Linked DNA regions of Daphnia pulex. The protein of the gene in region 3 interacts with the protein of the main gene of each other region in a pairwise test. Links are inferred from orthologs where the notes say so. Each region holds a gene or a part of one and is shown on either strand. Other genes may lie near its edges.

Evidence for each region.
Region 1: the proteins of prefoldin subunit 3-like (region 3) and prefoldin subunit 5-like interact in binary tests that used the Drosophila melanogaster proteins (3 or more experiments, as listed by UniProt). The link is inferred for Daphnia pulex from reciprocal best matches to the Drosophila melanogaster genes mgr and Pfdn5.
Region 2: the proteins of prefoldin subunit 3-like (region 3) and prefoldin subunit 2-like interact in binary tests that used the Drosophila melanogaster proteins (3 or more experiments, as listed by UniProt). The link is inferred for Daphnia pulex from reciprocal best matches to the Drosophila melanogaster genes mgr and Pfdn2.

The regions. Positions count from the first base shown.
Region 1 is NC_060023.1:2,200,332-2,203,363, reverse strand, and holds prefoldin subunit 5-like, read right to left. Parts: upstream 1,687-3,032; 5' UTR 1,537-1,686; intron 1,481-1,536; 5' UTR 1,446-1,480; coding exon 1,332-1,445; intron 1,264-1,331; coding exon 1,129-1,263; intron 1,068-1,128; coding exon 993-1,067; intron 929-992; coding exon 823-928; intron 763-822; coding exon 689-762; 3' UTR 635-688; downstream 1-634. Other genes in the region: 1-acyl-sn-glycerol-3-phosphate acyltransferase alpha-like, read left to right, coding at 1-222. UniProt on the Drosophila melanogaster protein: Binds specifically to cytosolic chaperonin (c-CPN) and transfers target proteins to it. Binds to nascent polypeptide chain and promotes folding in an environment in which there are many competing pathways for nonnative proteins.
Region 2 is NC_060024.1:9,271,743-9,274,450, forward strand, and holds prefoldin subunit 2-like, read right to left. Parts: upstream 1,390-2,708; 5' UTR 1,303-1,389; coding exon 1,145-1,302; intron 1,046-1,144; coding exon 922-1,045; intron 859-921; coding exon 676-858; 3' UTR 623-675; downstream 1-622. Other genes in the region: aurora kinase-like, read left to right, coding at 1,860-1,927, 2,059-2,244, 2,326-2,460, 2,523-2,681. UniProt on the Drosophila melanogaster protein: Binds specifically to cytosolic chaperonin (c-CPN) and transfers target proteins to it. Binds to nascent polypeptide chain and promotes folding in an environment in which there are many competing pathways for nonnative proteins.
Region 3 is NC_060028.1:10,584,563-10,587,662, forward strand, and holds prefoldin subunit 3-like, read left to right. Parts: upstream 1-1,596; 5' UTR 1,597-1,666; coding exon 1,667-1,759; intron 1,760-1,833; coding exon 1,834-1,906; intron 1,907-1,974; coding exon 1,975-2,186; intron 2,187-2,245; coding exon 2,246-2,358; intron 2,359-2,428; coding exon 2,429-2,513; 3' UTR 2,514-2,581; downstream 2,582-3,100. Other genes in the region: guanine nucleotide-binding protein subunit beta-like protein 1, read right to left, coding at 352-1,170, 1,233-1,382; c-Myc-binding protein-like, read right to left, coding at 2,676-2,790, 2,858-2,959, 3,029-3,100. UniProt on the Drosophila melanogaster protein: Binds specifically to cytosolic chaperonin (c-CPN) and transfers target proteins to it. Binds to nascent polypeptide chain and promotes folding in an environment in which there are many competing pathways for nonnative proteins.

The DNA.
Region 1 (3,032 bases), on a different chromosome or scaffold from region 3:
AGTCCTGTCGTTTACTCGTACTACTACTTTCTTGATCACAAACAAAAGCGGTTTGACCCAGGTGAAATTGTAATGACCGTATTACCACCAGTGTCTACTAAAGGCATGACAATGGAAGATTTACCTGAGTTAATGGAGCGAGTGCGCAACATGATGTTGGAAGTGTATCAATCCTCTTCTGACGAAATATCTAATGCTAATAATGCTCAACCTTCTAGTTAAAAGCTCTGACATAGACTAAATCCGCTGGTCTGGACTAATGTTGCACCGCTTCAAAAGTGAGAAATTTAAAGTGTAACAATTGATAATTTTTTTCTGTCAAGGCGAAAAAATGTGCTGTCTAGTCCCCGTGTAGACCTGAATTCCTAAATTTTTTTGTCCCATTTCCAATGTTCGGTTTGGCAATTTTTTTTAACTACTTTTTGTGTGTTAACTTCGCTGTTGTTGCGTATGTTCAATGGCCATCAAGTTTATCTGCGACCGGGCAGGTACAACGATGCACAAAATCGTTTTTTCTATTGGAAATCTCCCTTTTTGTACTCCTCCATGTTATTAACAGTGCAAGTTTAACTGTTTGAGACTCAGCAGCTTCATTACGAATCGAAATAAAAAATTAAAGCAATGAAAATGTCAATTTGTTGATGATGAAATTTTATTATTCATTTATTATACTGTACGGATGGTCTGTTTAAGCGCGAACTGCAGCCTGAGGGTTGGCGGCAACTTGGGCTTGTACTTTCAAATCCATCACTTCAGCAACAGCTGCAGTAAAAAAATCTTTAGTACATAGAGAAAATTAAAAATAATATCAAAGTAAATTACCATCTCTGACTTGACTCTTTTCAATACCAAGCATCTGTACTTTCTCCATTTGTTCAGTAACAAACTTTACTTTACGTCTGAAATAACTCTTAGCTTGTTCAATTGTCTGAACATTAAACAATAAAACTTAGTAACCATTTCAATCTTTTGACAAGATTATCAGCACTTACATTCTCTGCATAGTAACCGGTTCCAATATCAATCAAAGGTTGTTCTGGTTTACTGATTTTTCCAGGCACATACATCTATCAAATATAAGGTCTTATACCAAGAAATCATATGTACAATTACTTTAATCTAGCTTACAGATCCTGTGAGTGGAACAAGTATAGGTGCACCTTCCTGGGTAGATTCTAGTTTCTCAGCACTTTCAGCTGATTCTTGAAATTTTGTCTGTGCAATTTTCAAAGTCTGAAGAGAATCTTGGTACAGGCTTAAATCCTATACAGTCAAAAATGAAAGAAAGCAGTTATAAATAATTCTATAAAATAAAATAATGAAATAATGACTTGTTCAAGTTGCTGCTTTAACTGAGACAGCTGTGGAAGTGTCAAAGTGGTCAAGTCTATTTTCTGCATATTATCTCCTCCTTGGGCTTTATCTTTTTGTGCATTACCAGCCATTTTCACAGGTGTGTTACTTGATTGGAATCTATCAACTTAACGAGAAATACAAATATATAGAACCGCAAAAATTCGAGTATTTTGGGTGTACCTTTAAAAGGAAATGTCCACCACCACCAGTGTAAAAGAGCAGACGACGTGATTTAAAGGTTTGGGCGTTTAGCATTTCTAAACAGCATCTGTTCTTATAAGATGGTTTCAGAGAAAAACACCTGAAAATGAAGTCACAATTATTTATAGAAATATTTCTAAAGCCTTCAGTCATTGAGAATTCACGGAGAAATTTTTTAAATCATGCATCTTGTTTCTAATTTGAGACTTGAATTCTTTTTTCAAGTTGCAAAAAAATAGGAATAAGTATAGACGGATTGGATTCCTTGTTATTGTGATTGCGAAATATTCAGCGTTGAAGGAGCCAGAGGAAAAAAACCGGCCTCTCGGCGACAGTCTCTACTTCATCGGTATCAAGATCAGGAGCGATCAGGAGTATGAAAAGGGCAGACAGTGGTGCGTTTTCCGACCTTCCGTCATGAGTTGACGATTTCTTCACAATCAGTCAGACGACAGATACCGGGTGACACGACACGTGCCGCAACGTAAGACCGCTATATATTTCCAATCGTCTACAATCATCTTGCGAGACACACAGAGAATAGTCTGAACTCTTATGGCCTATTGGCTACTGGAAAGGCAGGAATCCTTCAGAACAGCAAAGATCAATGTACTGGGGGTCACCGAGCATCAAAATCTGCTGGCCAGTCCAGGATGTAACTCCCTTTTATCACTTTCGATATCTCGATATACAGAGGTTCTTGATATACAGATATTGTGTGGGCGGACTGGAATCTGACTAGACACCAGACAGAGCTCTCTTTTACTGTTACACTGAGACTAAATAACATTTTTTTAATTTGACAGCCAATAAGGACACTATAAGCTGCAACTTAACTAAGCGATAAGAAAACGTTGCTTTTTAACGAACAGGACTCGATAGTCTATGCACAACGCACTGGCACAATTATGCTTACCATTCACACAATGAATACTTTCAGAATCAATTACTAGGATGCACAAGTCTAATCAATAACTTTTAATGAGGAACTCAGGATGAATTGAATATGTAATGTATAGCATTTTTTTAAAGTATTTTTGTGTATCGTGTCAAATATTTTACATGAAGAAACAAGCGAAAAATTTAGACTAAATGCATTAAACGATATTATGTTTTTCTGACTTCTTTGACAATATTAAAAATGGGTTGGTTATCCATGGAATGCTGATCTAAAACAAGATTTTTAAAAAGTAATTACCAATAACGAAACAAATTATTTTCCGATATTCAAATTACCTGAATTAATTGTATCGGACGGATCTCATCAAAGAAGAACAAAATACAATTATTTGAAAAAAAAGGTGACTTAACCGATATTCGGCCGGCACTTTCCTGTCTGCGTTCGGCGGCTACCGGGACCACAAGGACGCATTCCGGCTACAGCGACGGATCTACCTGATGGGGATCTACTTTCGGCTTCCTTATCTTCCAGATTCCGTTCATCAATTTCGTTGCCCCCGTGATGAGGTCTCCTA
Region 2 (2,708 bases), on a different chromosome or scaffold from region 3:
GGTAAAAAAAAAAATAATAATAAAATCCTTGGTTGGCTGGCTTAATCTATTTAGATAGTAAGCCGCGAGCAGACAAAGAAAGAGAGCAAACTTACGATGAGAATTTAACCTGACATCGAGACCAATTCCCACACATCGTCGTCGAATCGTTTTGGTGTATACTGCATAAGTAGACTGTCTAGACCAACTTTTCACCTAGAAAATAAATTAAATATTTTGATCACCATTGTTTACTTATCTGTAAAACAAATTTTACGGAGAACTGCGCCAAAGCAATTTTGTGGGGAACACTTTTGACTTTTCAAATATTACACACAAACTAAACAGTTCGCAGCAGCAAAAATTATTGGTTTAAAATCCGGTGTGATCTCAAATCCATATGATTTTATAGCGTTGTCGCTCTTCGGAGAAACCAGAGATAAACTAAGTTATTGTGCATTCAATAGAAATCTAATAGAATAATTCCTGCTAGTAATTCATAAATACATCAAAAGTTAGAATAGCTAAGCTTCTTAAAAGCTTTCTTGGTAAATCACACAGATTGTTTAGTACTCTAACCTTCCATTAGGATAGTAGAGCAGATGAAAGTATTAGATTCATAAAAATAAGCAAAAGCAAAACATATGTTTTCTGATTTTTCTTCAGCAGCAGAGCATACAAAACAAGGTATATCAGTTAAGGTTTGGTGCCCACCAAAACCCCCTGATTGGCAACTTTATTTTCTCCTTCATTATCAGGAGCTGTAGATGGGAGTTCATTTTGATTTCGTATCCTGATATTATTCTTTTCCTTGAAGTCATTAATTTCTTGTCCCTTGGTGGAAATTTGATTATTGAGAACTTCAATTACTTTAGTCATCTATATAAAAAATAAATTGTAATTAAAATTACAACCAAATAATACAATATGAAAACAAGTTACCTGGTCCCTGTTTGATGTCAGTGCAGGCAGAACTTCTTTGACAGTTCGTTCAACTAGTACTCCACCAACCATGCGAAAGCACTTCCTGTCTTCATCCACATTTTGAAGGGTTTCTATTACTAGTCTGAGTAAGAAAAAAAATATGACATAGTTAATAGTAGGAGTAAATTATCCTCTACACGCTATGGAAGTCTGTTTATAAAGTGAAACCGGTAAAACTTACTTGTGCTCGTTTAGATCCATTTCGAGCTCAGATAATTTACTAGCTAGTTGTCTCTGTTCAGTTCGTAATCTTTGAAATCCTTGGATGACTTCTTCATTCGATTTGCTAACATTTTTCGGAGCATTTTTAGCTTGCTTTTTGCTTCCGTCAGTCGCCATTTTTTACGTATCAAAAGCACTAAGCAGCAGACAAACTTCAGGCTATTCTACTTCCTACCCTCCTAGTTCCTATTTGAGACTAGCGGTAGAATGTAGCGAAGTCGACGATCGACGATTGTCGAAATTGACTTAGGCCTATTTGCAGATTGCAGAGCACCGAGAACAATAATCGTCTTAATGATAATGAAATAATTTAATAATAAATTAGTCTTAGACACGAAGACGAAGTCTATAGAAAATCTGAGAAAAACGACAAACGGAGGAGGCGAAAATATTTCCATAATACCATCATACCGGCAACGCCGGTTGTTCTGCCGTTTGAATATTTTCCCATTTGTCCAAAACCGTCCAGTAGCAGCAGCACCGTAGTAGACCACGGTTTAGGGTTTTAGAGTTTAGAAGTTTAGACATTGGTATACAGGTATATACAATTACAACACATTTTGAAAATTTAGACCAATCTAAACGTTTTTTACGAAAATGTAAGTGAATAAGTAAGTTTGAACTTCGTGTTTTTGTAAATGTTTCATGTTTTGATTTTGAAATTGACAGATAACATGGAAACCAAGCAGCCACTTAAAGAGAACTCTTCAAACCAACCTACTGTTAAGTTGGAAAACTCAAAGTATGTTAGAATTTTTTGTTTTTCAGAATCCAACAAAGTGTTTCTCATTTATCTTCTTGACTTAAATATTTTAATTGTGGCATTAATCTTCCAAATCATGTGTGTTTCTCTGCTTGTTTGTTTCAACCCAGATGGAGTCTTGATAACTTCGAAATTGGCCGTCCTCTTGGTAAAGGGAAGTTTGGAAATGTGTACTTGGCTAGAGAAATCAATACCAAATACATTGTAGCCCTGAAGGTTTTGTTTAAATCTCAACTACAAAAATGTCAGATGGAACACCAGTTGAGACGTGAAATTGAAATCCAGTCACATTTACGGTACATACTAATGAGATCACATGTTTTATGGAAAATTTATATCACTAATGCACATCAACCTTTTCTGCGACTCTACTGTAGACATCCCAATGTTTTACGCATGCACGGATATTTTTATGATGAAACTCGTATTTACCTCATCTTGGAATTCGCCGCAAATGGAGAAATGTACAAGTACCTGAAACGCCAACCCAATGGCCGTTTTTCTGAACCACAGTAAATTTTTTAAAATAACAGAAACATAAGTTCTGTGGAAAATAATTTACCCCTATTTTTAGGACGGCCAATTACATGGCTCAGCTAGCTGATGCATTGATATACTGTCACGCGCGGAAAGTAATCCACCGAGATATTAAGCCAGAAAATCTTTTACTAGGATTTCATGGAGAAATTAAAATAGCCGATTTTGGTTGGTCCGTCCATGCTCCTTCGTCTAGGTAAAGTAAAATATGATTGTTTAGTGT
Region 3 (3,100 bases):
CGCAGACTCTTCACATTTTCAATTGTTGTGTTTCAAGAAGTTTTCAAGGAGCGTGCGAGGGCGTGCCGTCGCCATGGTAACACTCCGTCCCAACGACCGTCATCTTTTTTCGGCTCGCTTGATAATTTCCAACCTTTATAAATATATGTGTGTATAAAATTCTTTTCTGATTTCTTCATGTATTTGAGGAGAAACGACGATAGAGAGCAGAGAACAACCCCTCGCTTTTATATATTCCCTTTTTTGAAAAGCTTGCGGCATCAATGCAGAGTCACACAGTTGATTAGAATACAAAGGAAGTGTACGAGGAAGCCAGGAACTTGCCTTTCAAGGGGTTTTGGGGGTTTTGGTTCAAACCGACGTCACTGTTGTTGGCTGGCCTGCCTGGCTGTACAGATCCCAGAGGGATATCAGAGAGTCGCTACCTCCGGCGGCCAACAAGCCGCCGACGCCGCCGCCGCTTTGACCCATGATGAAGACCAGGCTGTTGACAGGGCCGTCGTGAAGTTGAAGGACGCAGAGCTTTTTATGAGTTCGGGCACTGAAGAAGCGAATGCGATGGTCCCAGCCGGCTGTTGCGTAGAGACGCGGGTCGGATAGGCGGAGCGCCATGACGTTCAGTCCGGGATTGGTCAGCACGACAGACTTGAGCTCGGTTAGGTCGTCGACGTTGAAGATGTATAATGTTTCGCATGAAGTTCCTAATAGGAGTTCATTACGCTGAGCATGATGCCCCAAGCAAGTCGGCATGCTCTTGACCCTTGTTCGATGGAGTACAACGTTCTCGTTCCAGATGCAAATGCATCCACTTTCATAGGCGGTTACTACAGTCGTCTGTTTCCCCAACAATTTAATGGCCATTAATGCTCCTTCGTCGTCGTCGATCGTTAGCGTGCCGGTACGGTCCAGCGACGTCGTTTCCTGACTGATGTTGAAGATTTCAACTGAATTCTTCTTGGCAGGGATGGCTATGATGTTGGCCCAAAGGTCACACTTGCAGAATCCTTCATGAGTGACTAGCATCCGATGAACTGAGATTCCTTCTGCATTCCAGATGATGAGAGATTCATTTCTTCCATGTGAAATTATGTAACCAGGTCTGTCATCCAAAGCCCCAATCCACACAATTGTGGCACTGTGAGCTTGCCAGGTCTTGGTTGGTCGATAAACCTGAATTTAAAAGGTGTTTCGTCATTAGACAATCAATTTTAAGCAAATCAATTTAAGCCTACATTTAAATTCCAAATAGTTATGAATCCAATCTCTGATCCACTGACTAGATTGTATTCACCATCCTCTTTTAGTCTTAGTGCAGCTAATGCAGTGACTGGTCCACTTGGATTGTGCAGAATGTGGACTGGATCTGGTGGTGGTTGAGCCATTTTGTCTTTAATAACCAAATTTGTTTAGTTTCCTAATGCTCAGCTATAGTAGATGATAAGAACTGACCTCAAATAAATGTATCCATCGACAATTTCGAATTAAAAAGCTAATTTTGTTTTTGCATGTCTCACGTCAAAAACTTTCAAAAAGTTGTTTTCTTTTTGGTTCTACAGGTTCACCAGCGCCATCTATGGTGAATAATACACAATCCGTACAAAATCGGCTTTTTACATTGCAGACTAAAAAAACCTTTTTCTGTCTTCTAAAAGCAAAATCTCCAAAAATGGCCTCGACCGCAGCATGTGAACCTATCGAAGATAGTCTGAAATTATCCGGAAAAAAGTCTTTTGCTGGCATTCCCGAAGCTACCTTTGTGGTAAATATCGTTTGTGAAAACACCATGTCAAATTTCTTTCCGTTCAGTGCAATATCAGTTTATACCGGTGACAGGAAGATGTAGACGCTTACATGAAGGATCGTGAAGGGGTGGAGTCAATTTTGCGGCAACTAGACGAACAACATGGTATGTTATTTAATTAAGCCATAATGTATCTTTGCCATGCTTGTTAATTTTATCAATCTTTGTTACAGGAAAATATAAATTCATGGAGCTTAACCTTCTGGCACGCAAAAAGAAGTTGAAGAGTCAAATTCCAGACATCCAAAAATCACTTGACATGATTCAAGTGCTGGAAGCAAAAAGGAAAACTAACGAACAAATTGAAACTCACTTTTTACTCTCAGACCTTCTGTACTCTAGGGCAGTTATTGAACCCACAGATAAAGTCTGCTTGTGGCTAGGGGTAAATTATACCATTTAAACTATACAAGATTGCAAACTAATATTCTGTTTATTTTTCAGGCTAATGTGATGTTGGAATACACTTTAGAAGATGCTAAGGCTTTGTTGGAAAAAAATCATGAAACAGCTATGAAGAATCTTGCACAAGTACATCATGATCTGGACTTCCTTAGGTAAGTTTACTCTGTTTGGCTTGGCTTTCCCTAACAGTGTAACTTTAAATGTTTTTTAAAATCTATACAGGGATCAGATGACAACAACTGAAGTGAACATGGCTAGGCTTTACAATTGGGATGTCAAGAGAAGACAAGCCCTGAATGCTAAATAATAATTCTTTACAGCTAGCATGAAAGGAAACTACTGCAATTGTTCACAATAAAAAATTTTGCTTCAGAATCAAGTTTTTTATTTAATAATGAACATGAAATACATAATAAATGAGTTAAATGTCAAGGCACAGAAGGTAGTGATTTGACAGATGGAAGTGGCCTCAATTTATCTGTTCATCATGATCAGGTGTACTTTGTTCAGAAGGTTCCTCCTTACTCAAACTTTCTACAGCCAAGTACTTTTGAAGTTCTGCAGACAGCCTTTGATTCTCCTCCCTAATATAGAAAATGTGTTCGGTATTCTATGGCTGTAATCATTGTGTAATATTAAATAGCGACTCACTTCAACATCTCAGCTTGTCTCCGAGCAAAATGCAATTCATTCCTCATGGACTCCAGTTCAGCCTGATCGGGATGGGCAACACTCAGGTGGGTTTTTAGGTACCTAATTATGTGAGGAAAAATCTGTATTGTAATAAGTGTTATATGTGTAAGTAATCAAATTCATTGTTACATCAATGCATCATTTGGTTTCTCTGGCTCTTCATAGAGTCCAACCAAAACTTTTGTCAGAGCGTCCATGACT